Lytechinus pictus: one gene and its partners. The protein of the gene in region 1 purifies or fractionates together with the protein of each later gene. This does not show direct contact. Links are inferred from orthologs where the notes say so. Each region holds a gene or a part of one and is shown in the gene's direction. Other genes may lie near its edges.

Region 1 (8,402 bases):
GAATTATTTTCTGATGCGTATGATGCGCACGTTCGGTAATACAAGGCCGGTCGGTAATACAATCACTCACTATACTACTTTACTAGACAGCTGCAGCTGGTTACTGCGGCAGCCCGAACATGGTCATTGGGGCCTAGGTTACCTCAAGAATGGATTTTTTGTGCAGGCTCCACTTCACTACCGCTACACTACGCGACACCTACCCGAACATGCAAAAAAAAAAAGCATACTTATTGTAAAAACCCTGCGCCGCGCCGAAACTAGCTTGAAAAGAATAAGAAGCTTGATTTCTTACTTTTCATTTTAATTTCAGTCCATATTATCCATCCTCCGGTTAGCCTCAAAATTAGTGATTTAGAGCCAACATCGAGTTCCTCTCACATATAAATAATTCACTGCCGATTTCAAAACATTGCATGAGCAATGAGCCATTTTCGATTCGGCAGAGAATGTAATACGTGTAGGGTACCGCGATTCGGCTTCAAATCACCGGTTTTTAGACGTTTTGAAGAAAGGGCAACTTGGAGAGAGTGTGTCTGGTGGTAAGTTTAGTAACAGTAGTCAGTTGAATGTTTAGGTCTTCATGTGCTGGCTTTCTATACATAAAGTGCCACAGTTTGTCTTTGTTTTTTGGTGTGAGAGCGATTGTCATGTTTGTCACCCGATGGTTCGGATACATGTAGGTGGAGCGGAGAGTAGCGGTAGTGAAGTGTAGTGTAGCCTATACAAACCATTGCCTGAGGTAGTCTACGCTGTGTTCGGGCTGCGCAGAGTTGTACTCGAACTCACCAGATGAAAATCCAAGAAGCATTGGGAATCACAGCAGGAAGGATGAAATTTAATAAAATGTAAGAATGGAAAACTACATACTCACAAATTTATGTGCAACTCTCACGGCCCTCAAAACTTGGAAATGATGCCCCAAAACTAGGGCAAATCACCCGGTGTGCATCAAAAGTCGGTCGTGCAGGAAGCAATGGAGAATTGGTAAAGCCTTGTGAGAAGGCACACGAGATAAATCGATTTTTATCACCATACAGGCAGAAAACAAAAATGACAGGTAAAATAATAATTTGATTAAAAGAAAATCAAGTAAAATATTAAATGATTATGTGATTTGACTATGTTCGTATTATTATCAGACCCCCTATTTCACTAAAGATCCTATGGAGAAAATACAACTGAAGGCCTTGACAAAGGCTATCGTCTGAGGCGTCGAGTAGAAAGGATCTTGTGATAATTCATGAGTCTAGTGGCGTAAATTTTGCCAGGTTCTTGGATTGGTTTGGCTGGCGACCAGTCACGAAATTAAATGCCTCTGCTTTTTCCCTAACCCTATGGGTTTTTTTTTTCAAGAAAAGAGCTTATTTTCATGTTAATTATTTTCTTATTTTTTTGTTTTATTTTCTCCCTCATTTTTTTTCTGTTCAATTTTATTTTCTGGTTTGTTCTTTTTTTTCCCCTTTTCTATTTATTTGTTTTTGCTTTTTTGCTTTTATTTATTCTTCTTTTCTTGTTTTGTCCTTTTGTTCCTATACCGTTCTTTTCATTTTTGGGGTCGGTTTTCTTTCTCTCTCTTGTTATTTATAATTTCCATTTTTGTGTATTTTTATACTGTGCATGTATTCTTTCAATTTGAATTATATGTTGTGTTGTATGTTTTTAATGAGAATTTGAAATAAATAAATGAAATGAAAATTAAATGTAAATTTTTAATTAATCCACACATATATATATCGTCCAACCAGTAGCGTACACAAGGCGGGGGGGGGGGGGGTTGGTGTTACATGGGGTCAACCCCTCGCTCCTTCAGATGACCAAGGTCAAAGGTCATTTAGGGTCGATGAACTTTGACCAAGTTTGGGGTATTTGTTGAATTACCATCATAACTTTGAAAGTTTATGGATCTGATTCATATTACTTGGAGGCCGTTCTCATTACGCTTTCTAAAACTAGTTTACTGGAAACCGATTCAGGAAACCACTTTGGAAGATCGCTTTGCTAGCGTTCCCACTTGATCACACGAAAGTGGTTTTCAAAATCACTTCATGTAAAGCGCTCTTGTTGCTGTGGAAATGCTCTCAGTGGGGTGACACGTTTCGCGCGAAATTCGAAACCGCAGCATAGGCATTCTACACCTGTCGTGTGGAGTAGCGCGCTCAAAATGTGCAAAGATCGCTTCCCGAAGAACGGTTGTGTCCTCACTTACGCTAAAACCAGTTTAACGAGGCAAAGCGATCTTGAAAACTACATCGCGAGGTGGTTTTCCAAACTGGTTTGGAAAATCGCTTCCAAGACCGCTTCGACCGTTCTCACTACGCGTTAAACTAGTTTCCACTAAACTAGTTTCCAGTAAACTAGTTTTAGGAACGTAGTGAGAACAGCCTCTTGGACATAAGAGTAATCAAGTATCACTGAATATCCTGTGCGAGTTTCAGGTCACATGACAAAGGTCAATGAACTTTGGCCATGTTGGTGGTATTTGTTGAATTACCATCATGAACTTTGAAAGTTTATGGATCTGATTTATAAAACTTGGACATGAAAGTAATCAAGTTTCGTTATGACACCTAGATAGATCCTAAGCATTTGATTGGTTGTTTGATATCGATCATTCGGACCATTTTACAATGATGTCATCGACCGTGCAATTTAGGATCCATACGATTTTGTCCATTGCACGCACGCATTGTACTCAACATAATCGACAATCAACAGACCGAGCTCATACTGCATGATCATATTTTGCATTGAAATTGATAAATTTCCTATGAAAATAATCTAGTTTTAAGTGTCATATAAACCAAATAATGAATGTTCCTTCATTCGTGCAATGGACAGAATACTTCATTCAGTGAAAGATGAAATGAATGATCCATTCAACTCTTTCATCTTTCACCTCATGAAGTATTCTATCCATTGAACTCATAAACATTCATTATTTGTATACTGAACATATTGTGCAAGTTATAGGTCACATGACTAAGGTCAAAGGTCAATGAACTGTTGCCATGTTGGGGGGTAATTGTTGAATAACCATCATAACTCCAAAAGTGTATGGATCTAGTTCATAAAACTTGGACATAGAGTAATCAAATATCACTGAACATCTCATGTGAGTTACAGGTCACATGACCAAAGTCAAAGGTCATTTATGGTCAATGAGCTTTGGCCATTCTGGAGGTAATTATTAGATTATTATCATAACTTTCAAGATATAGTTTATAAAATGTGGATATAGCCTTTATAGGGGTAATCAAGTATTACTGACAAGTCTAAGGTAGCATGATCAAGGTCAAATGTAATTTATTGTCAATGAACGTAGTATTGTATCATTATATGAATGGTGTTTTTTGTGAATAATTATTTTATAGTACGGGTAGTTTTCAAAGTCAGCACTGCTGCTACATGTATATTGAATCGCGCGATGCAGTTGTTATGTATTATACATGTATTATTAATGTTGTAACCCGCAAGTGAAAACCCGAACCGTATCGTCCCGTATAATCCAATAATTTGCAAACGGGATCCGCTGACCCGTCGGGTTTTAACCCGCCAGTCAATTTATCTTTGAAAAATGAAACGGTTGAAACAACTGTCTCACTGCCGTTCACCGCAAATCCCTCGAGCTCAAACAGCGAGCGTTGCCGTGGAAACAGGCTTGACTCGCCCCACTCCAAGTCATAAAGCATCCCTTTCTCTGCCACGTGGCCTATTACTCGCTCCTTGCCAGACATGATTACGCAATGTATTCTGGCATCTGTTTACATTCTCCGAACACATCCCCTCCCCTCTCTCTCTCTCTCTCTCCCCCTCTCCCAGTCGTAAAACATTCCTTTCTCTGACTGCGCTGCACTGGCGCTCCTTTGAAAGAGCAACTCGATGTATTATGTCGAACTGTCTCAGTCCTGTTCACTGTTCACAAGACAAAAATATGCCGGCATTTTTTTAAAGGAAATATCTACGTCTCTAAAAGAATCCGCCACGTAAGAAGCACATGATCCTAACTCAATTTTCATTGTTAATGTTTTTATTATGCGTCGTTACTTCTCCCTTTTTTTCGTATGATGGTCTGCGGGTTTGAGAATGAACTCGGCCCAACCCGCGACCGGGGGCATACCGGCAGGTTAACCCGTACCGCAACGGGTGCGGGTTATTGTAATTTTATATTATTTTTATATTGGTGAATAAAATCAAATGAAATAAAATCAAATCAAACAGAACCACTGCACTGTAACACTTTCACATAATGCAATTTCTGCTATCTAAAATTGTAGTTATATTATTTATGCAATCCCCACACTATACAGGCTCAAATCAGGAAAATATATGCCAACTACTAACCTAGCTTAGAGTGAATTTACTTACAATTTGCAAATTCGCCTTTTATTCCGGAGAGAAAATGTTTTTTGGGGTGACTTTGTACCACGAAATGGGTCCGTTCTGATCTCGAAATTGAAAGCATTACGCAATTAACTCCTCTTATTGGAGCCTCAGCGCGCGCTAGCTAGCCCAGGCTGCCCAGCAAAGACCAGCAATGTTGTTTTTCAGTCCAGGTCGGTCGACACGGCGACTCACAACAATCATTTTACAATATTCAATTCTATGGGACCTCGTCTATAAAGTAATCAAAATTGAAATAAATACCAGGATAATGATACAGTCAATTTTTTCTTCTTGTATATCTCCATATTATTTCCTTCTGTTTTTGTATTTCTTTCAATTCTTTGTAAACTAATACAAACGTGCACGAGGGCGCCCATGAACTAAACATAAACAGCTCGTGTTACTAGTGCTTAGCTAGGCTTTTATTTATTTTTTATCTCTCTCGATCGATCGGTCAAGAGAGAGGTATTTGCAAGAAACTTGCAATCTAATTTTACATCTTCAGAAATCTTTATTTTTTATTTTTATATTGGTGAATAAAATAAAATGAAATAAAATCAAATCAAACAGAACCACTGCACTGTAACACTTTCACATAATGCAATTTCTGCTATCTAAAATTGTAGTTATTTTTTTTTATTAATAACTGTAGCTCTTGAGGACTGAACATAGTACATGTAGTCTATTTTTGTATAGATATATGTGCATATTTTATATCATTGAATTCAAGCTCATGGTATGTAAAAGCAGAAAATGTGTATTAAACATTTTGATCTTTGATGAAATCTTTTTTTTATTTTGCATTTTAGGACTTTATTGATATTGTGCTATCAAAGACCCAACGGAAGACTCCAACAGTTGTCCACAAGCATTATAAGATCAGCAGGATACGACAATTTTACATGAGAAAAATCAAGTTTACACAGCAGAGTTACCATGACAAACTTCAACAGATTATCCAGGATTTTCCCAAGTTAGAAGTGAGTGGGAGAAATGTATTTAAGTGTTATGATATACACTGTTACTTTAATTTGATACGGACTTGTCTATTGATATCTTATATATTTACTATATATAAACAAAAGGAAGTTGAATTGCCATAGTATGCAGTAGTGATAGTCATATTTAGATGTAGCACTTTGAACTAAAATGTATGATGATGGTGATGGTGTTGTAGGTTTCCTTTTTTTTAGTATGATTGAATCAATTGTACCTCTAATGAAAACAGGTCCATATTAAGTATCTATACACCTCCACCCCACACAGGATGTCCATCCATTCTATGCTGATCTGATGAATGTTCTCTATGACAAAGATCATTACAAGCTTGCCTTGGGTCAGATTAACACAGCCCTGCATCTCATTGACAAGTAAGTACTCAAGTTGATTCTTTATAGTAAACATGTGTAATGTACTAAACATTGTAGTGAATTTGATATTCTGTATATGTATTGCAAAATGGTAAATTACAGATTTATAATTTTTTAAAGTGGATTTTGTATGTTACCAAGACCTTAGCCTGAGATGAGGTATAATTCATGGTAAGCATGCACTATACAGTGTGTATCAAAAAAAGTTTACACTTAGAAAAAACCGTGTAAAATTATACATTTGTAATATCCTGAAGATATGTTCACATTCTAACATTAGTACAGATCCATTTAAGCAAATGACGATATAACTGTAGAAAAATATTTCCGCTTGAGTGAGCACCACTTACTTTTGAAAAGTTAGTGAAAAATGATTTGCGCAGAACTTTGAAATAGTTATGCGAATAAAAGTAACCTTAATAATGAAGAACACGTGGAATTTAGCTAGTAAAATTGATTTGAAGATATCTTTTACCTTTTTAAACTTGTTTCCTTGCCCAAAACACTTCGAAGAGTGCATTGCGCCCCACCCCACTCCCCAACACACCGAGGCCATCGTGACAATATTTGCTTTACACTGAGCTGTGATTTACATAAAATGGTTTAGGCATGATTTTCATTTTGTTAATCATTGTCAAGCTTGGGAAAAGTGTGGAGAAACACGTATTAAATAAAAAAATGAAATGTAAACCCACTTTAAATGATAAAAACTTCGTGGTAAAATGCTGGAGATGTCTGATATAAACTTTTGCTCTGATTCAGTTATGTCCTCAGATCCAGCTGGCACAAAAAGGGTAAAGGTTGTGCTTACTAAGTATTGAAATTTCAATTTCGGTGGCAAAGTTGTTACAAAATGCTTGAATGTATCTGTTTTATTTCAATTGACTAAAAGTGCAAGGGAATTGTATGAGAAATGTTTCGCAGGGTAAGTTTGATTTCGCCCTTTCCCCTTGACACAGCGTGAAAACAAGCATTTCTGCGCAAACAGATTTCTGAGAGCTTTACAAAAATGGACAGTGCTCACTCAAGTGTAACATTCTATAAAAACTTTAACTTTTATTGGATAGATGAGACCCAAACCCAAGATTATATGTGAAAAATTACCCACATGTTGTATATTTTTTAATTCCCAGGAATTTTTCAAAGTGTGTTTTTGATACACACTGTATAATGGATACAAATTAACGGAACCTAGTAACCTGTTTAGATTGGACATCTATCACAAACATGAAGCACAGTCAAAATATCCAATGCAGGTAGCACTTAAATGCCTTACTTCTTGTGCATCTTGGCCTATGGAAATTTATACACAAAAGGCCATGCAAAAATAGTTGCTATATCCAATGGTCATGGCTATATATAACAATTTGCACAATGGTTGGGAGAGCTTATCATACTGAGAATCTTTCATATTATACGTCGTATGAAATAATCAAAGAGAACTAATATAGAGTTGACTGAATCTTGCCAAAATTATTTGCTGTGCTATCTCAAGCCAATCACATTTCAGTAATACCATATGGATTTCTAGTAATACAAGGAACAGTTTGTATTTATTTTTTTCTTCCATAGAAATGAACAAATCTATTCTGGAATCTGAAAAGACCTGAATTTCTGCTCTGAATGCTATCATAAAGATATCATTAAAAAGATTGTGTGACTGATTTATTATAGTCATCATAAATGATTTTTCCTAATTATTAGCCCTGTTGAATTTGCTATTATTTTTTCTTTTCAAAATGATTTATGATTCACACTACTGTATTTTGTTTCACACTGCCATGTGCTTTTCTCCAGTGTTGCTAGAGATTATTGCAGATTGATGAAGTACGGTGATTCCTTGTACCGATGCAAGCAGTTGAAAAGAGCTGGGATGGGAAGAATGTGCACCATCATGAAGAGACAAGGACAGAGTCTGGAGTACCTGGAGCAGGTCAGGCAGCATTTGTCAAGGCTGCCCTCTATAGATCCAAACACACGCACACTCCTACTTTGTGGTTTTCCAAACGTAGGCAAGTCAAGCTTCATGAATAAGGTGTGTTCATATGTATTTTATAACTATGGGGGGGGGGGGCTGAAAATTACATTTATGCATAGCAGAAGAAAAAAGTAATTGGGCAGTTTCTTCTAGTGTGAGGTAAATCACACCACCCTTGTCCATGGAGACAAAACCCAATTCAACCTTTGATTACTACATCTACTATAACATAGATTGAAACTTACATTACATTTATGCATAGTATGTTTTGAAACCAGATTGTAAGAGTTATTTAGATTGTTGTTTAAGCAGGTCAAAGGTAACTTGTATAGAATTCAGTCAGTTTATTCAATCATGTCTATGGCAATGCTGTTAGTACTACTAGGTTAGGAAAAGATCTTGTCTCCCTTGTCGCTGGCTGGGTGAAAGATAATAATAATAATAATTAATATGTTCCATTTATATAGCGTAGCAAATATAATTGCATATATACTACTGCGCTTGATACTTGGTATATTATTACCCGTCTGTAGCTGAGCCGCCGTATAGGTGCTAAAGCATTCAAGGAATAAATCCTACTGGATACCCATTCACCTCACCTGGGTTGAGTTCGGCACAATGTCTGAGATTCAAACCCACGTCCACCTGATTGAAAGACGTGAGTCGTA
Region 2 (7,796 bases), on another chromosome or scaffold:
GGGTAATGCTATGGTAACTGCAGTTCTGTTGTCCTCTGACAGTTGGTGTTGTAAGGATGTGATTGGCAGTGTGTGGACGTCATGTTATAAGAGAAAAAAGAAAGTTAAAGTGAGAGTGTTGGCTTTGAAATGGACTCAACCTATGAAAGTTAAAGTTTGTGCTGCAGAAACTGGTGTGGTAGTGGGATGATAATGATGATGAGGAACAGGGCCGGTATTCAATGCTACTCTTAAAGCCACAATTTCAAGTATATTTTACTCAGTATTTTGCAAAAGTAAAATACTTATCCATCTTTGGTATTCAATTCATTTTTTTTTTGCTAAATATTTTGCTTAAATGTAAGTCAGCCATCTACTAGACTTAAGTCTACATATACAAAAATGATACGCACAGAAATACATTCACACATTTGGCACTATTTGGCTCAAAATTTATAACATCACAATGGGTATTAGTATTTAGTTCAATTTGGATAAGGTAAATTCTGAGATCTGATCTGCATACAAGTTTAAGCATTTTGATAAGCCAGCCAAATTGCTAAGTAAAATACTTACAAAATCAAAACTTAGAATTTAATAGGCGGCCGAGGTATTATTTTCTTCCAGAGGACATGTACAGATTTCTTGTTGACAAAGGATGACATGATGATTATTTTGCAAATATGGCTTATTAAAAAATATATTATGTATATTCCATTTCAGTGACAATTGCATTTTTGGGGAGGGGATATTACGTATTTGGGAATGGAAAAGTTCAAAATTAATGCAAACTTAACCTATTACGCAGGGGGGGGGGGGGGCTCTGAGCTCTGCGATTTAAAAAAAAAAGTCTTTTGCATGTTTTGAGACCAGTTTTGCGAAGCCCGGGTACTGGGTTCTGAAAATTACCAAACAATTTGTAAGTGCATATCAGACAAAAATGGCTCAAAATTGTGATATTTGTGTACCACGTCAATGGAATATGCGTTTTCAACCAAAATTCATGAATGCCTAATTGTTTTTAGTTTTGTTGAACTAAACTGATTTATTTTATGCTGTTACGAGAGTCCGAGCATCGTTGAAAAAAAAACAATGCAATACAAAGGTAAAAACACAAGAAATACATTATCGAAGAACACCACAAAGAGTTTCTAAACCAAAAATTAGAACATTTGGAGCTTTATTTAGGGAGTTAGAGGAATAGGTACGTATAGTATACTAATTATGCACAAATGAGCATAATCAATTAATAGCAATTTGCATGAAATAAATGACTACACAATTTTGTGGATTATTAAAAGCAATTGCGATCTTTTTCTTCACTATTCATTGTTTTTAGAAACCTCATTGTAGACTTGCCTCATGCACCTCTCAAGATGGCTTCATCATTTGAATTATATTCTACACTTATCATTCTTTAAAAAAAAATCATTGTAGACATGCCTCACCTCCTCTCAAATTGCCTTCACCATAACTTGTAATACAGTTTATTCTTTTTATAAACCTCCATTAACTAATTGCCTCACCTCCTTTTAAATTGGCTTCACCATAATTTGTAATACAGTTTATTCTTTTTAAAAACCTCCATTGAAACTTGCCTCACCTCCTTTTAAACTGGCTTCACCATAATACAGTTTATTCTTTTTAAAAACCTCCATTGAAACTTGCCTCACCTCCTTTTAAATTGGCTTCACCATATACAGTTTATTCTTTTTAAAAACCTCCATTGAAACTTGCCTCACCTCCTTTTAAATTGGCTTCACCATAATACAGTTTATTCTTTTTAAAAACCTCCATTAAAACTTGCCTCACCTCCTTTCAAATTTGTAGTACAGTTTATTCTTTTTAAAAACCTCCATTGAAACTTGCCTCACCTCCTTTTAAACTGGCTTCACCATAATACAGTTTATTCTTTTTAAAAACCTCCATTGAAACTTGCCTCATCTCCTTTTAAATTGGCTTCACCATATACAGTTTATTCTTTTAAAAAACCTCCATTGAGGCTTGCCTCACCTCCTTTTAAATTGGCTTCACCATAATTTGTAGTACAGTTAATTCTTTTTTTAAAACCTCCATTGAAACTTGCCTCACCTCCTTTTAAATCGGCTTCACCATAATACAGTTTATTTTTTAAAACCTCCATTGAAACTTGCCTCACCTCCTTTTAAATTGGCTTCACCATAATACAGTTTATTTTTTAAAACCTCCATTGAAACTTGCCTCACCTCCTTTTAAATTGGCTTCACCATAATACAGTTTATTCTTTTTAAAAACCTCCATTGAGGCTTGCCTCACCTCCTTTTAAATTGGCTTCACCATAATTTGTAGTACAGTTAAATCTTTTTTTAAAACCTCCATTGAGGCTTGCCTCACCTCCTTTTAAATTGGCTTCACCATAATTTGTAGTACAGTTTATTCTTTTTAAAAACCTCCATTGAGGCTTGCCTCACCTCCTTTTAAATTGGCTTCACCATAATTTGTAGTACAGTTAAATCTTTTTTTAAAACCTCCATTGAGGCTTGCCTCACCTCCTTTTAAATTGGCTTCACCATAATTTGTAGTACAGTTTATTCTTTTTAAAAACCTCCATTGAAACTTGCCTCACCTCCTTTCAAATTTGTAGTACAGTTTATTCTTTTTAAAAACCTCAATTGAAACTTGCCTCACCTCCTTTCAAATTTGTAGTACAGTTTATTCTTTTTAAAAATCTCCATTAAAACTTGCCTCACCTCCTTTTAAATTGGCTTCACCATAATTTGTAGTAGTTTATTCTTTTTAAAAACGGACTTGCCTCGCCTCCTTTTAAATTGCCTTCACCATAACTTGTAATACAGTTTATTCTTTTTAAAAACCTCCATTGAAACTTGCCTCACCTCCTTTAAAATTGGCTTCACCATAATTTGTAGTACAGTTTATTCTATTTATAAACCTCCATTGAAACTTGCCTCACCTCCTTTTAAATTTGTAGTACAGTTTTTTTTTTTTTAAACCTCCATTGAAACTTGCCTCACCTCCTTTTAAATTGGCTTCACCATAATACAGTTTATTCTTTTCAAAAACCTCCATTGAGGTTTGCCTCACCTCCTTTTAAATTGGCTTCACCAGCATAACTTGTAATACAGTTTATTCTTTTTAAAAACCTCCATTGAATCTTGCCTCACCTCCTTTCAAATTTGTAGTACAGTTTATTCTTTTAAAAAACCTCAATTGAAACTTGCCTCACCTCCTTTTAAATTGGCTTCACCATAATACAGTTTATTTTTTTAAACCTCCATTGAAACTTGCCTCACCTCCTTTTGAATTGGCTTCACCATAATTTGTAGTACAGTTTATTCTTTTTTAAAAACCTCCATTGAAACTTGCCTCACCTCCTTTTAAATCGGCTTCACCATAATTTGTAGTACAGTTTATTCTTTTTTTAAAACCTCCATTGAAACTTGCCTCACCTCCTTTTGAATTGGCTTCACCATAATTTATATTCTTTTTTAAAAACCTCCATTGAAACTTGCCTCGATCGCCTCCTTTTAAATTTGTAGTACAGTTTATTCTTTTTAAAAACCTCAATTAATTGAAACTTGCCTCACCTCCTTTTAAATTGGCTTCACCATAATACAGTTTATTCTTTTTAAAAATTAACCTCCATTAAAACTTGCCTCACCTCCTTTTAAATTGGCTTCACCATATTGTAGTACAGTTTATTCTTTTTTAAAAACCTCCATTGAAACTTGCCTCGCCTCCTTTTAAATTTGTAGTACAGTTTATTCTTTTTAAAAGCCTCAATTGAAACTTGCCTCACCTCCTTTTAAATTGGCTTCACCATAATTTGTAGTACAGTTTATTCTTTTTAAAAACCTCCATTGAAACTTGCCTCACCTCCTTTTAAATTGGCTTCACCATAATACAGTTTATTCTTTTTAAAAACCTCCATTAAAACTTGCCTCACCTCCTTTTAAATTGGCTTCACCATAATACAGTCTATTCTTTTTTAAAACCTCCATTGAAACTTGAGCTCACCTCCTTTTAAATTGGCTTCGCCATAATATTCAGGTAAGGTATATTCATTCTTTTTTTTAAAAACATCATTGTTCACTTCCCTCACCTAGATCATTTGGCTATATATAATACCTTTTATTCTACACTATTCTTCCCTTTAAAAAAACCTGATTGTACTCCTGCCTCCCCTGATCTGACATTTGCCTCTCAACGTACTGGAAATAGATACCCTTTTTTCAATATTTTTGTGTTTTTGACACCCTTATCACGTTACGTACGTAACGTGCCCTCTCTTGAAAAAGACATCCTTTTTACGTGTTTTTTTGGTCGCGCATGGTATCCACTCGTCAATATAAGTGGCCCCCCGGGCGTACTGTACATAGTGTTATTTTATTATCTCCTTATATCGGAAACTTCGTTTTACCGAATTGCCATGCACTCTCCGACGCGTTTGAAGTCTTAGACAGCATGGCATACTACCAGCCGATGGTACACACACGCACACACACACACGTTATTTGACAACTTGTCTCTGGAGCCAAAGTTCCTCGCATATAACTATCTGCATGCCTGCACGCAGTGTGTATTGAACACACACGACCACGATCTAATGAATATTCATCGGCGAGACTGACGTCATTTTACGAGTCTCCTTTCAAACTTGGATCATAAGTGCCTACCTTAAATACCCCAAACTCACGTGTGTGCAGGAAAGTGTGAATTCAAAGACAAGAAGATGCCGAAATCAAGACGTGACAAACGAAGTGAGTACAGTTTTTATGAAATTCAAGTTTCATTTATTTAATTGTCCTGTGTGTGATTTGGTTAGAACAGACAGGTGTATTTATATAGAATTCTTTGAAATAACGCACGAAAAACATTTTCAGTTTTTCATCACGGTCCCACTAACCGACAATGACGTCTGTTAATACCGTACGTGTCTATGAATTCTTGATATTGCTGTAAAATGGTAGACTGAGAAAATGTTGAGATAGATACCCATCCTATAATTCTTGATTACAGTGCTTATAGATTTTCAAAATGTGAGGTCAGAATATCAAAAAATTACAGCTCACTGAGACTCATACCGAGGAGATCATTTATTGGTAGGGTGTCTGGAGAAAAAAATTATTTTTCTTATTTCAAGAAAATATCACATTTTCTTTGTGAATTTGAAGAGAAATGACCTTCAGACTGACAGAAATGTAACATTTTTGAAAAAAATCCAATTATTGGCTGCAAAAAAGAAGAATGAAATTGGGTAAATTTTCAGCATTTCTCTGCCATAGACTGTGTAGTTAAGAAATGGACACACACAAATCCAAATTTTTAGCTTCCGAGAGCTGTTATAAATTTATTATTAATGCCAAAAACTTGTCCATAAAGAGTCCAATAGGATTTTTTATGCTCTATCTGATGGTATGATTTTTATAAAGATTTGGAAACCAGATCACAATGAAAAATTGCGACAAAGTGAAAAAAATTGTGCAAAACAGAAATTTCATTTTCCCATAGAAAACGCATGGAGAAATGGCAATTTCAACACACACAAAAATAAGGGTTTGCAATTTATCTCTAAATCCTTATTTAAAATGATCATATAAACTTGTCCTTACTGTCAGAAGAAGCTCCTGAATTTTCTCTTTCCATACATGCCAAACACAAGTTAATAATCAATTCAGATCACATTTTTCTAGTAGCCTGAACTTCCCCGAAAAAATGTGCCATATTTTCCCCTAAATTAGCCTGTTTTAGGCTGACACTTTTCAGTGTGGCTTCAGACACCCTATTATTGGGGTGTGGAAACGACCCACAACGAACAACAACAACAACAACGGTAGACCTAAAGCTTCAGTCTTTGTATTTGGTTGTTCCGCTGAACTCTGTTGGCTCCACTCACCAATACATTGTCTTTCACTTGGTGACAGTACGATTTGCGTACTGTCGCCAAGCGAAAGACAATGAAATCAAGATAGGGTGTCTGAAGCCACACTGAAAAGTGTCAGCATAAGAGACTAGAGAGGCTGATTTAGAGGAAAATATGGCACATTTTTTTGGGAAGTTCAGGCTACTAGAAAAATGTGATCTGAATTGATTATTAACTTGTGTTTGGCATGTATGGAAAGAGAAAATTCAGGGGCTTCTTTTGACAGTAAGGACAAGTTTATATGATCATTTTAAATAAGGATTTAGAGATAAATTGCAAACCCTTATTTTTGTGTGTGTTGAGATTGCCATTTCCCCATGCGTTTTCTATGGGAAAATGAAATTTCTGTTTTGCACAATTTTTTTCACTTTGTCGCAATTTTTCATTGTGATCTGGTTTCCAAATCTTTATAAAAATCATACCATCAGAAAGAGCATTAAAAATCCTATTCGACTCTTTATGGACAAGTTTTTGGCATTAATAATAAATTTATAACAGCTCTCGGAAGCTAAAAATTTGGATTTGTGTGTGTCCATTTCTTCACTACACAGTCTATGGCAGAGAAATGCTGAAAATTGACCTAATTTCATTCTTCTTTTTTGCAGCCAATAATCGGATTTTGTTAAAAAATGTTACATTTCTGTCAGTCTGAAGGTCATTTCTCTTCAAATTCACAAAGAAAATGTGATATTTTCTTGAAATAAGAAAAATAATATTTTTCTCCAGACACCCTAATCAAGATAAACATGGTGCCGGTGGCAAGTTTTTCCCCTTTTCATAAAATTTTTCTCGTTTTTTGAATGAATTCTTGTTTAAAAATGAAATCACTAACGTAGAAATGTCGGAAATGTAGTTGTATCTCATGTACATGATTTAGGGCTAGATCTTTTAGAAAGAAAGTAGAAATCTTGGGGGCGAAAGTTAGAGGTTTTTTGGCGGTACGTGTAAGTTAGATGAAATAAGCATACGTTACTGTGGGGCGCTCTTCCCGAGCATTTCATGGGGCGGTCTGTACTGTCCGATCTTCCCCTTGCATTGTAGTATAGTATCTTTACTTTACATCTCGCTTTTCTCCTTTCATAAAATCATGCACACACGTTTCGCCCTATGTACCGCCATCACTTTAAGTTGTGACATGACCATGATGACAGCAGAATGACATGAGAAATAGAGAAAGAACGATAAGAGTATTAATTAGCAAGTAATTAGCGGAGAAAATTATGTGGAACAATTCATTTCAAAATCACAATTTCTTGAAAACTATCAGAATACGGTATCATGTAAAACTAAAGGGCTACGTCGCACCACGGAAAATCCGGTTCCAAACAAGCATGTCCGGCTCTGCTAGCCCTAGCTAGCTGCGCCGGCACGCTGGCAAATCTAGCATGGCTGGCTGGCGGGAAGTGGAAATGCGCCAGTGTCTATGCATGGACATCATCCGGTTATCAATGATAAGATCGTAATTTGCTGAAATGATTCTGAAACATCCTGTACCTTTGAGGATTGATGATGAATGATGCAACAATTATTTCCGATAATTGTTCCCCACTTTTTGTATGATTTTTTTCCCGGTGTCGCTCGCGCTTTTCATGTGATGAATGAAGAGCTTGTGGAATGCACGCGTGTCACATGCAACGCGTGTTTTCTACACTGGCGAGAATGTTGACTGGCATTGCCTTTGTTTGTGAAAGCTGGAGTGGAGCTTTCAAGTTAGAATATTGACGATGACTGAAATGATAACTTACAATCTTTTTATTAGCTAAAATCTTGCCCAGATTTATTCTCCATTATCTAATTGATGACCTGATACCCCTTTCACAAACCCAATTATGCGGATAATATCGGCATAATTTGGTTGTAAAATCGGAGCGGGACCAGAGTTATCCGCATTATTTCG
Region 3 (8,349 bases), on another chromosome or scaffold:
AATACACTTTTCGTATTTGATATAGCTCTTGATTTTCCAATTTTGCTTAATGATTATTTGACTACTTTTTCTAATAAGGGAAATGCTATTCCTTTCCTTTTCTGAGTAAAGTAATATCTATTTCCTTATGAGAAAAGTTTGAAGGTCTGCAGGAGGATTTAGTCATCCATCCCTATATTGATTCATTTTATTATTCATTCATTTTACTTGATTGCCACTCCAAGCTGCATTCATATACCAATATTAACTTCTGTGACCTTGATTAAAGTTGAAAAACATTGTTATTTTTAAACTTATCTCTTCATTCACAGAGATGCAGACAGAGTGTTACTTCAGGCCTGTCAGGAGGAAGGAGCTAGTGAAGAAACTTTCATCAAAGTAGCTTCTCATTTGAATGATAAAACACCACAACAGGTATGTACAAGCCAGGGTATCATGTAATTTCCAAATCTTTTCTATTGAGTTTTGTTCAGTTTGTATAGACATATGTAAGCCATTGTAGAGTTTTATTTGTGAAAGTCCATCTGCATTGTTGATAATTATAGCTGAATTTTCAGTTGTATCATTAAAAGTATTATTTTTAATATCAATTATGATATCATATGGGATAGTATTCATAGAAAATGTGATGATGATGATGATGATGATGAATGATGATGATGATGATGATGATGATGATGATGATGATGATAATGATGATGATGATGATGATGATGATGATGTTGATGATGATTATGATGTTGATGATGGTGATGGTGATCATGATTATGATGATTATGATGGTGGTGGTGGTGATGATGTATAACTAATGCAGGATGGTTTGATATTTTTTCATTTTTATTTTGAAGGTTAAAGAGAGATTTGCCACTCTCATGAAGTTATTTCACCTGAAAGCAAGTAATGATGATGAGCCAAGCAACGATGAAGAAGATGAGGAGGAGGATGAAGAAGAAAGTGGTGAAGAGGAAGAGGAGAATGTGGATGATGAAACAGAAGTCTAATAAAATGAAAATCCAGTGAGAGCCTGGCAATGTTTGGGGCAAGGAAGAATATGTGATACAAGGCAATTGGCCCCCTTGCTTGATAAACAACAACAAAACAAAAATAGTTCTTGTACGTTGCAAAGAATCTCAGAAAATTGCTATTGAGACAAATACAAATGTATTTGCCATGAACAGAAAAGGAAAAATATTGCTCTACAGAAATTTTAATTTTGCAACTTCAGAAACACAACTTGATTTTCAGAAGCGCTTATTTGGGACCTGTACTTGATTCTTATAATTGTGACAAAACACAATTCCTTCTGTAAATGTGCATGTGTTTTCTTTTCTCTTTTCTTTCAAATCTACAATTTTTGTTTGCTGTGGGCTGATATGGTTTTTTTATATGTTTTTAAACAGTATCCCATATTAACAACTCATTTTTTAGTCATTATTCAAACTACCCCCTTTCATGTGGCCCTGTTACTTCTTAAATACAAGACCTATGCTTTGTTCTTGAACTTTGAATTGTTATCAAAATTGCATACAATATTTAAATGAGAAAATCCCTGTTTTGTCAAGAAAGAAATTTAACTGAATTATGCTTTATCATGATGCCATATTTTATTTTGACATCTGTATTTCCCCTTAGACTGCCACATTCAAAACTGGTTTGAATGACATCATCCCTCTCCTTTGATTTTTGGCCGATAATTATTTGGCGACACTGTACAGTAGGTCCTCTTGTAATTGTGTCAGTTGGTTCATTTACAGAGCTGTTTTCTCTACAAGTGTCACAATACACACTGCATACTAGGTCTTACTTCCTAAATGTCCTATTCGAACATGTGCTCTAGAATTAAACTTATTTCTCTGGGTTGTATACAGACTTATGGCAAGTTTTTGAGAATTAATGCCACTGCTGTGAAAAGTATTTTGTATACTCGTTTTGAATTAAATGGCAAGTCCACCCCAGAAAAATATTAATTTGAATAAGAAAAATCAAACTAGCATAACGCTGAAAATTTCATCAAAATCTGATGTAAAATAAGGAAGTTATGACATTTTAAAGTTTCGCATATTTTTCACAAACAGTAATATGCACAATTCAGTGACATGCAAATGAGACAGTCGATGATGTCCCTCACTCACTATTTCTTTTGTTTTTTATCGTTTGAATTATACAATATTTAAATTTTTACAGATTTGACAGTAAGGACCAACTTGACTGAACCATATAGTATAAAACAATGCCAATTCCACATATTCAGGGAGGAATTAATCATTGTTTCACTTGATAATGAGGAGAAAATAGAATATTTCATATTCCATATAATAAAATACAAAAGAAATAGTGAGTGGATGACGTCATCTGCCTCCTCATTTGCATACCGGTCAGGATGTGCCTGTAACTGTTTTATGAAATTAAGCGAAACTTTAAAATGTCATAACTTTCTTATTTTATATCCAATTTCGAAGAAATTTTCAGTGTTATGCTTGTTGGATTTTTCTCTTTTTAGTCATATCAACTGTTTGTTGGGGGTGGACTTGTCCTTTAAATGAAAATAGAAGATGGGCTTATTTTACTATATACATTGCTGAAATATGTGTGATTTGTATAGATATGTGAGAAATGTAATCCTGTTTTCTAAGTTTTGTATGTTTGTTTGTTTTTTGCTCTAAAGAAATTACCCAAGCTTGCCAAAATAGTATTGAATTAGAGTGAGTGATTACAGCTATTTTGGAGTGAAACTTAATTTATTCCCATGATTTAGGTATTTGACTTTGAGTGAATGCTTATTTCATAATTTTTGTATTTTTATTATTCATCTTACATGTTCTTTTTCTGATAACATGAAGGCAGTTGATTAATATTTTTTTAGATAGAATTGTGATATGATAAGATTAGATATTGATGATGTGTGCAAAAATCATGGTGGTTTGCATTTAATCTAATTTGTAATTCCTGCCATGTATACCTGCTACTCAATTAAATGTATAAAGATTGTCTTTTGAGGAATTATATTCTAGAAATAAAGATCTTTTTTTGACCAGTGACTAACCAGTTGTAGTATATCCATATATAAATTGCACATTATGAATTCACAGTTATTTTAGGAATTCTTTCCTCCAGAATTCACTCAATGATTATGTCTGCTTTTTTCCTCTTTATTGACATTTTCATCACATGATTGTGATTTGTTTATTTATTATGGTAAATCTAATTTTAGTGCCTCCCTTCTCCCAAGATATAGACATATGGTGATATAATCTTGGTATTTATTTTGTTGATGACATATCATACAACTCCCATCATTCATGCTGTACATTTTGTTAAGTATATCTGCCTTTTGGTGCAATTTTATTTGTAATGAGTGGTAAACTGCTGTAAACAAAAAGTTTGTTAATTGCTATATTTTGTTGGTCTTCTGTACATACTTGTAAATACAGGAACAGTTTTGTATTTCTGATCTTGCAAAAAGCAAATATAAACCTGAGAGTTCTGAATTATGGAAACATCTGTCCTGTCTGGCATTTCTGTTTTGTTCTAATGATGAATGTAATCATTTGAATTGGTAAATGAATAATCAAGTAAATTGAGTATATGAAAGTGATAAAAATATATATGTATGAAATGGATAATTATAAAGGTTCACATTTTTTGTGGTGTAACTGCATGATTAAAATGACAAAAAAATCCCAACCAAAATGGAGGAAAATCTGGTTATCAGCCAGGACAGTCTTGTGTTTTTATGTGTGAATGAAAGGGGACAGCTGTGGAAAATAGGGTATAATCCAACCCATATAGAAAGTTTTTTTTTTTAGGTAAACAGAGAAGCAGATGGGTGAAAGTTTTTCCCAAAATTGGAAAAACGATAAGAAAGTTTTTAGCAGTTGTGAAAATTGTTGTCACTTTACTTTTGGGGTTTAAAAGTGGCTGCAAAGATATGTCATTAATGTGATGTATGGTAAGAACTGATTCTTTGCAGGTTTGCTTCAATATACAAAATGACACAAATGTCTTTTTTTTTTTAACTTTCACTAAAATTTTTCCTTTTTGAGTATTAGCTTAATACAATTTCTATGTTAAATTTGATTATCGCTCCAGTGGATGGCTAGAAGAGAAAAAACAATTTTTTATGACTAAGTACAAGATGATCCAATGAAAGGAAAAGTAGTCTCCACATTGATCGACGGACCAAATTGTCAATTTGAGACTTTCTAGACTTGGTGATCTCAATTTCGCTGTTATCTTTAACTTATTTGTCACCATTTTTTTCCTACAAATTTCAAACATTCTATTTTCCTTATTTTTTTTCTTTAACTAAAAAAAATATTGCTTACGATTTGTCTTTAGTGCGTTATTTGATGACACTAACCATGCAGACTCTGAAAAGCAATTGAAATACTTTATGTTCAGCTAATTATTCTGTCTGTTCCATTGAATCGGATTACAAACAATCTTTTGCTGGGCTGCATATGACAAACCCGGAGACAATGAGATGGGAGGGATTACTAGTATCTGAGACTATTTTTCATGTGGCTATTTTCCATCCAAATCAATGTATTGACTCTATTGATTGAGAACATTGGAAGGCAGGGCCTTAATTGGGAAACGATGCAAGTTCAGGGGGGGGGGGGCATTTCATAAGGCTATTTGTAAGTGAAGAGTGAATTTAAGAACGACTGGTGATCTTGTGGTAAATGATATTCTCAAATGTTCATTGGTGATTGAGTATAAGAAAGGTTCAACAGTCATTCTTGAAATTGCTCTTAATTACAAACAACTTTATAAAACACCCCAACAATGCAGGGGGGTATCTACTGACGTACAGGGATGTGGGGATGTGACACTCTTTATAGGTCACTTTTTTGTGAAAAGTCCTTAAAGTTGGCTGAAAAATCCTCCCAATAGCAACCCCCTTTGGGACATTGAGTGATATGACTTTATTATTATTACTGGTATTGTCAAATGAGAGGAAATCCTTAAAGGGGAATCCATCATTGGTCTTATGACATTTGTGGGACAGGAGAAAATCATGAAGTTGTGTGATTTTTCTTTTTCGTCTATGTATTTGGGAAGGATTCCCCTTTAAACATTAATCTCTTGGGGAGAAACTGAAACTCCTTGATAATGAGTACCTTTTTTCTGCCTAAATGTATACCCATATATGGGTTTCAGCTGCACACCCCATACGAAAAAACACTTAATACCCCCCCCCCCCCCCCCATCCACGGGGTCGTTGATCCGGCCAGCCAGCAGATCGAGCTAGCGCTCGCGAGCGATAGTTCGTTGACCCTTCTGCGACGCGTGTCTCTGCTGAGTTAAGCTGCTGTAACTGTGCATGTGGGTTTCATGTTGTGAGGAGCTTCACGATTCCTTTCTAATTTTTGACTGTTGAGTTGATTTTATCAGCAAAGGTTCCTCAAAATGGTAAGAACGATAATATTCATTCAATATGATAAAATTTCGATGATATGTGATTTGCGAACGATATGAAAATCAGCCACTTTTAAAAGTGAACTTTCGTAGTGGAAATTATGTGTTATCCCACGTATTGGAAACAATGTCATGTAGGCCCTAGATCTAACGTTACATGGTGTTGACACTGCACTGCGCAATTTTTTGCAAAGCTCAGTGGCAAATTGTCCATGCATAGCCATAGACTGTATAAAGTATAGGATGGGGGTCGGGTGTCCGGACACTTAATACTTTTGAAGCCTTCTTTTTTGTCTTTGGATTAGGCCTACACTGTAATCATCTTCTATTTTGTTCTCTATGACAATTAGTAGAGGCGCTGGTCAGAAAATTGGGATCGTCCCAGACAGGGACTGTCTCAGTTTATAAGGATTTCTTCACACAAGAAATCTAGGAAAGTTCATTCACCTGTCAAGTACCGACACCAATCAAGTGTGCTAGTCAATGTAAACATATCAGGTTTCATAACAAGACTATTGGAAGACGGTAAGTCATGAAAAATAGACGGTGAACTGGTCTAGGGGGAATTGAGGTCACTGCACAGTGGCAAATTGTCCATAGACTGTGTACAACGGATAGACCGTCTCGGCTCAGCGAATCGGAGACCGCTGATTGGCCAATCGCGCAGATCACGTCATGACTATATGGTCGCCAAAATAATTCAGACTGCGTGCGAAAGTATCGATAGTGATAACGCAAGGCTCCACATTAACTTTTTTTGGTGGTGGCCCATTCGGGCCACCAAAACCTTCAAATATTTTTTTTTGGTGGCCCGATATTAAAGTTTGGTGGCCCGAAAAAATTAAAGAAAAACATTAAAAATGAATAAATGGGTATAAATGGTTTAACCACAGTAAAAAAAAAAAGGAAAGAAAGTAATGTTGTAAATCGGATCAAAAATCAGATCGAAAATCGGATCGGCAGTTAAGCTTCTAAAATCGAAATCGAATCGGCGATGTTTAAAAACAAAGGAATACATCAAAATGTTGTTCGCGGTCGCGCGCATCTTCCTGACAAAGTCACAAAGACGAATGGAAGTCGCCAACATGCGCGATCGTTTGGAACATGTTTTAAAGCCAGGGGTTTTGAGGTGTTATTGCTTTAAAATAAACCGAGTGATTTTTATTAGAAAGATAAACGTAAGACGCATCTTCCGAGCAAAGGCGCAAAGGAAAATAAAATGAAAATATTTCTCATAGATCACAGGTTAATGAACGATCGGCGGGACATCTTTTAGAAGTATTTTTAGGTGCTAGCGATTTAGAATTATTGGAATGATCTCTTACGACGCATCATCTTAAAGTCGCAAGTGCAATTAAAATGAAGTAGAAGACGCAAGCACGCACAATGATTTGAAATATGTTATTAAAATGTTTTGGGTAGCTAGCGTTTTCAAATTTGAAGTTCACGGCGGGGTCCGCTATCACCACGAGGTTGAAGAGAAGATGTCTATCATCATAAAGGGGGTAAGAGAGTAGCGCAGTGAGCTCCGTCGGTAATACGACCTTTTAAAGTTCACGGCGGCATCCGTTATCACCACGAGGTTGAAAATAAAATGAATATCATCATAAACGATGTAAGAGAGCAACGCAATAAGCTCCGTCAATAGTACAGTCTTTAAAAGTTTATGGCGGGGTCCGCTATCACCATGAGGTTGAAGAGAAGATTTATATCATTATAAAGGGGGTAAGAGAGTAGCGCAGTGAGCTCCGTCGGTAATACGACCTTTCAAAGTTCACGACGGCATCCGCTATCACCACGAGGTTGAAAATAAAATGTATATAATCATAAACGATGTAAGAGAGTAACGCAGTGAGCTCCGTCGGTAATACGACCTTTCAAAGTTCACGGCGGCATCCGCTATCACCATGAGTTGGAAGAGAAGATATCTATCCCCTTAAACATCGCCATAGATAATACCGCGACTTTCTCCCTGAATAATGCGACCTCTAAATAGCTAGCACCTCAAAAACAATCTTGAAATATGTTCTGAGCGATCACGCACTGTAACCAGATCTACGCCGATTTTTTATTTTCGATTTTTTCCTTCAAGGGGCATGATCGAAGATCGGCAAGTGATTGCCGATTGTGGTGAAATCGAATGGAATCGGTTGCCGATTGCAAAATCGGTTACAAGCTTAAAAGAAAGTAATAAAACGGCAAAAAAAGTGTGAGAAAATTCCTTCCCTCTATTTGCCAAAATGTTGGAAAAATTCACATTTCATATTAATGAAATGCCTTCCCAAAGTATTTACTTTCTCAAGAGTTGTTTAAGAAGTCACTTATGAACAAGAAAGAAAGTAACTGTCTGTTTATTTTTGGCTAGAAAAGACCGGAAAAGACACAGCTTCGAAAGAAACCAAGTAACAACATTCATACAAATGCACACGTGGGACTGTGATGTACTCACCTATGTGTTTTTATGTGTATTATTTTCTTTTTTAGTCAAAAGAGAGGTCACGATTCCTCTTTTTAATGCTTGCAAATAATCAGGATACACCAGATTTTAGCAAAAAGGTCTGTAGAAGGGCATTTTATTGGTGTAAAATGTGACTTTGACTTGGATTTTCACAGTTCTGTGGAAGATTTCTTGGCAGCAACATTTCGTATTGCAGCTCCCTGAGTCTGAATAGGCTGCTAACGCACAGCTGCTTCAAGCATGCAAAGCTCACGCCAGCCGGCCAGCGCGGCCGGCTGGATAAAAGCTACTTAATGCTATAGCGGTAGGCCAACTTTGTGTGTGTGTTTGTGTGTAGATCACCAAAAAGGGAGCATGACGAACTGGCTTGCAATTTGAACTGTAGAAAGTTGATAAATGCGTGCAAAATGGGGAGAAAAATTGTGCTATTCTGAAAATTATTGGTTGCCCGATTCGGGCCACCAAAACTT

Evidence for each region.
Region 2: the proteins of GTP-binding protein 4-like (region 1) and mRNA turnover protein 4 homolog purify together in Homo sapiens (affinity purification with mass spectrometry; 3 studies listed by BioGRID and IntAct, counting the BioPlex papers as one, with this or other methods). This does not show direct contact. The link is inferred for Lytechinus pictus from reciprocal best matches to the Homo sapiens genes GTPBP4 and MRTO4.
Region 3: the proteins of GTP-binding protein 4-like (region 1) and ribosome biogenesis protein NSA2 homolog purify together in Homo sapiens (affinity purification with mass spectrometry; 3 studies listed by BioGRID and IntAct, counting the BioPlex papers as one, with this or other methods). This does not show direct contact. The link is inferred for Lytechinus pictus from reciprocal best matches to the Homo sapiens genes GTPBP4 and NSA2.

What each region holds. Positions count from the first base shown.
Region 1 is NC_087247.1:48,314,019-48,322,420, reverse strand, and holds the start of GTP-binding protein 4-like, read left to right. Parts: upstream 1-5,188; 5' UTR 5,189-5,288; coding exon 5,289-5,366; intron 5,367-5,652; coding exon 5,653-5,756; intron 5,757-7,553; coding exon 7,554-7,791; intron 7,792-8,402. UniProt on the Homo sapiens protein: Involved in the biogenesis of the 60S ribosomal subunit. Acts as a TP53 repressor, preventing TP53 stabilization and cell cycle arrest.
Region 2 is NC_087245.1:41,221,126-41,228,921, forward strand, and holds the start of mRNA turnover protein 4 homolog, read left to right. Parts: upstream 1-4,627; 5' UTR 4,628-4,708; coding exon 4,709-4,736; intron 4,737-7,796. UniProt on the Homo sapiens protein: Component of the ribosome assembly machinery. Nuclear paralog of the ribosomal protein P0, it binds pre-60S subunits at an early stage of assembly in the nucleolus, and is replaced by P0 in cytoplasmic pre-60S subunits and mature 80S ribosomes.
Region 3 is NC_087249.1:25,097,420-25,105,768, reverse strand, and holds the start of ribosome biogenesis protein NSA2 homolog, read left to right. Parts: upstream 1-5,242; 5' UTR 5,243-5,412; coding exon 5,413-5,415; intron 5,416-8,349. Other genes in the region: GON-4-like protein, read left to right, coding at 312-414, 849-1,001. UniProt on the Homo sapiens protein: Involved in the biogenesis of the 60S ribosomal subunit. May play a part in the quality control of pre-60S particles.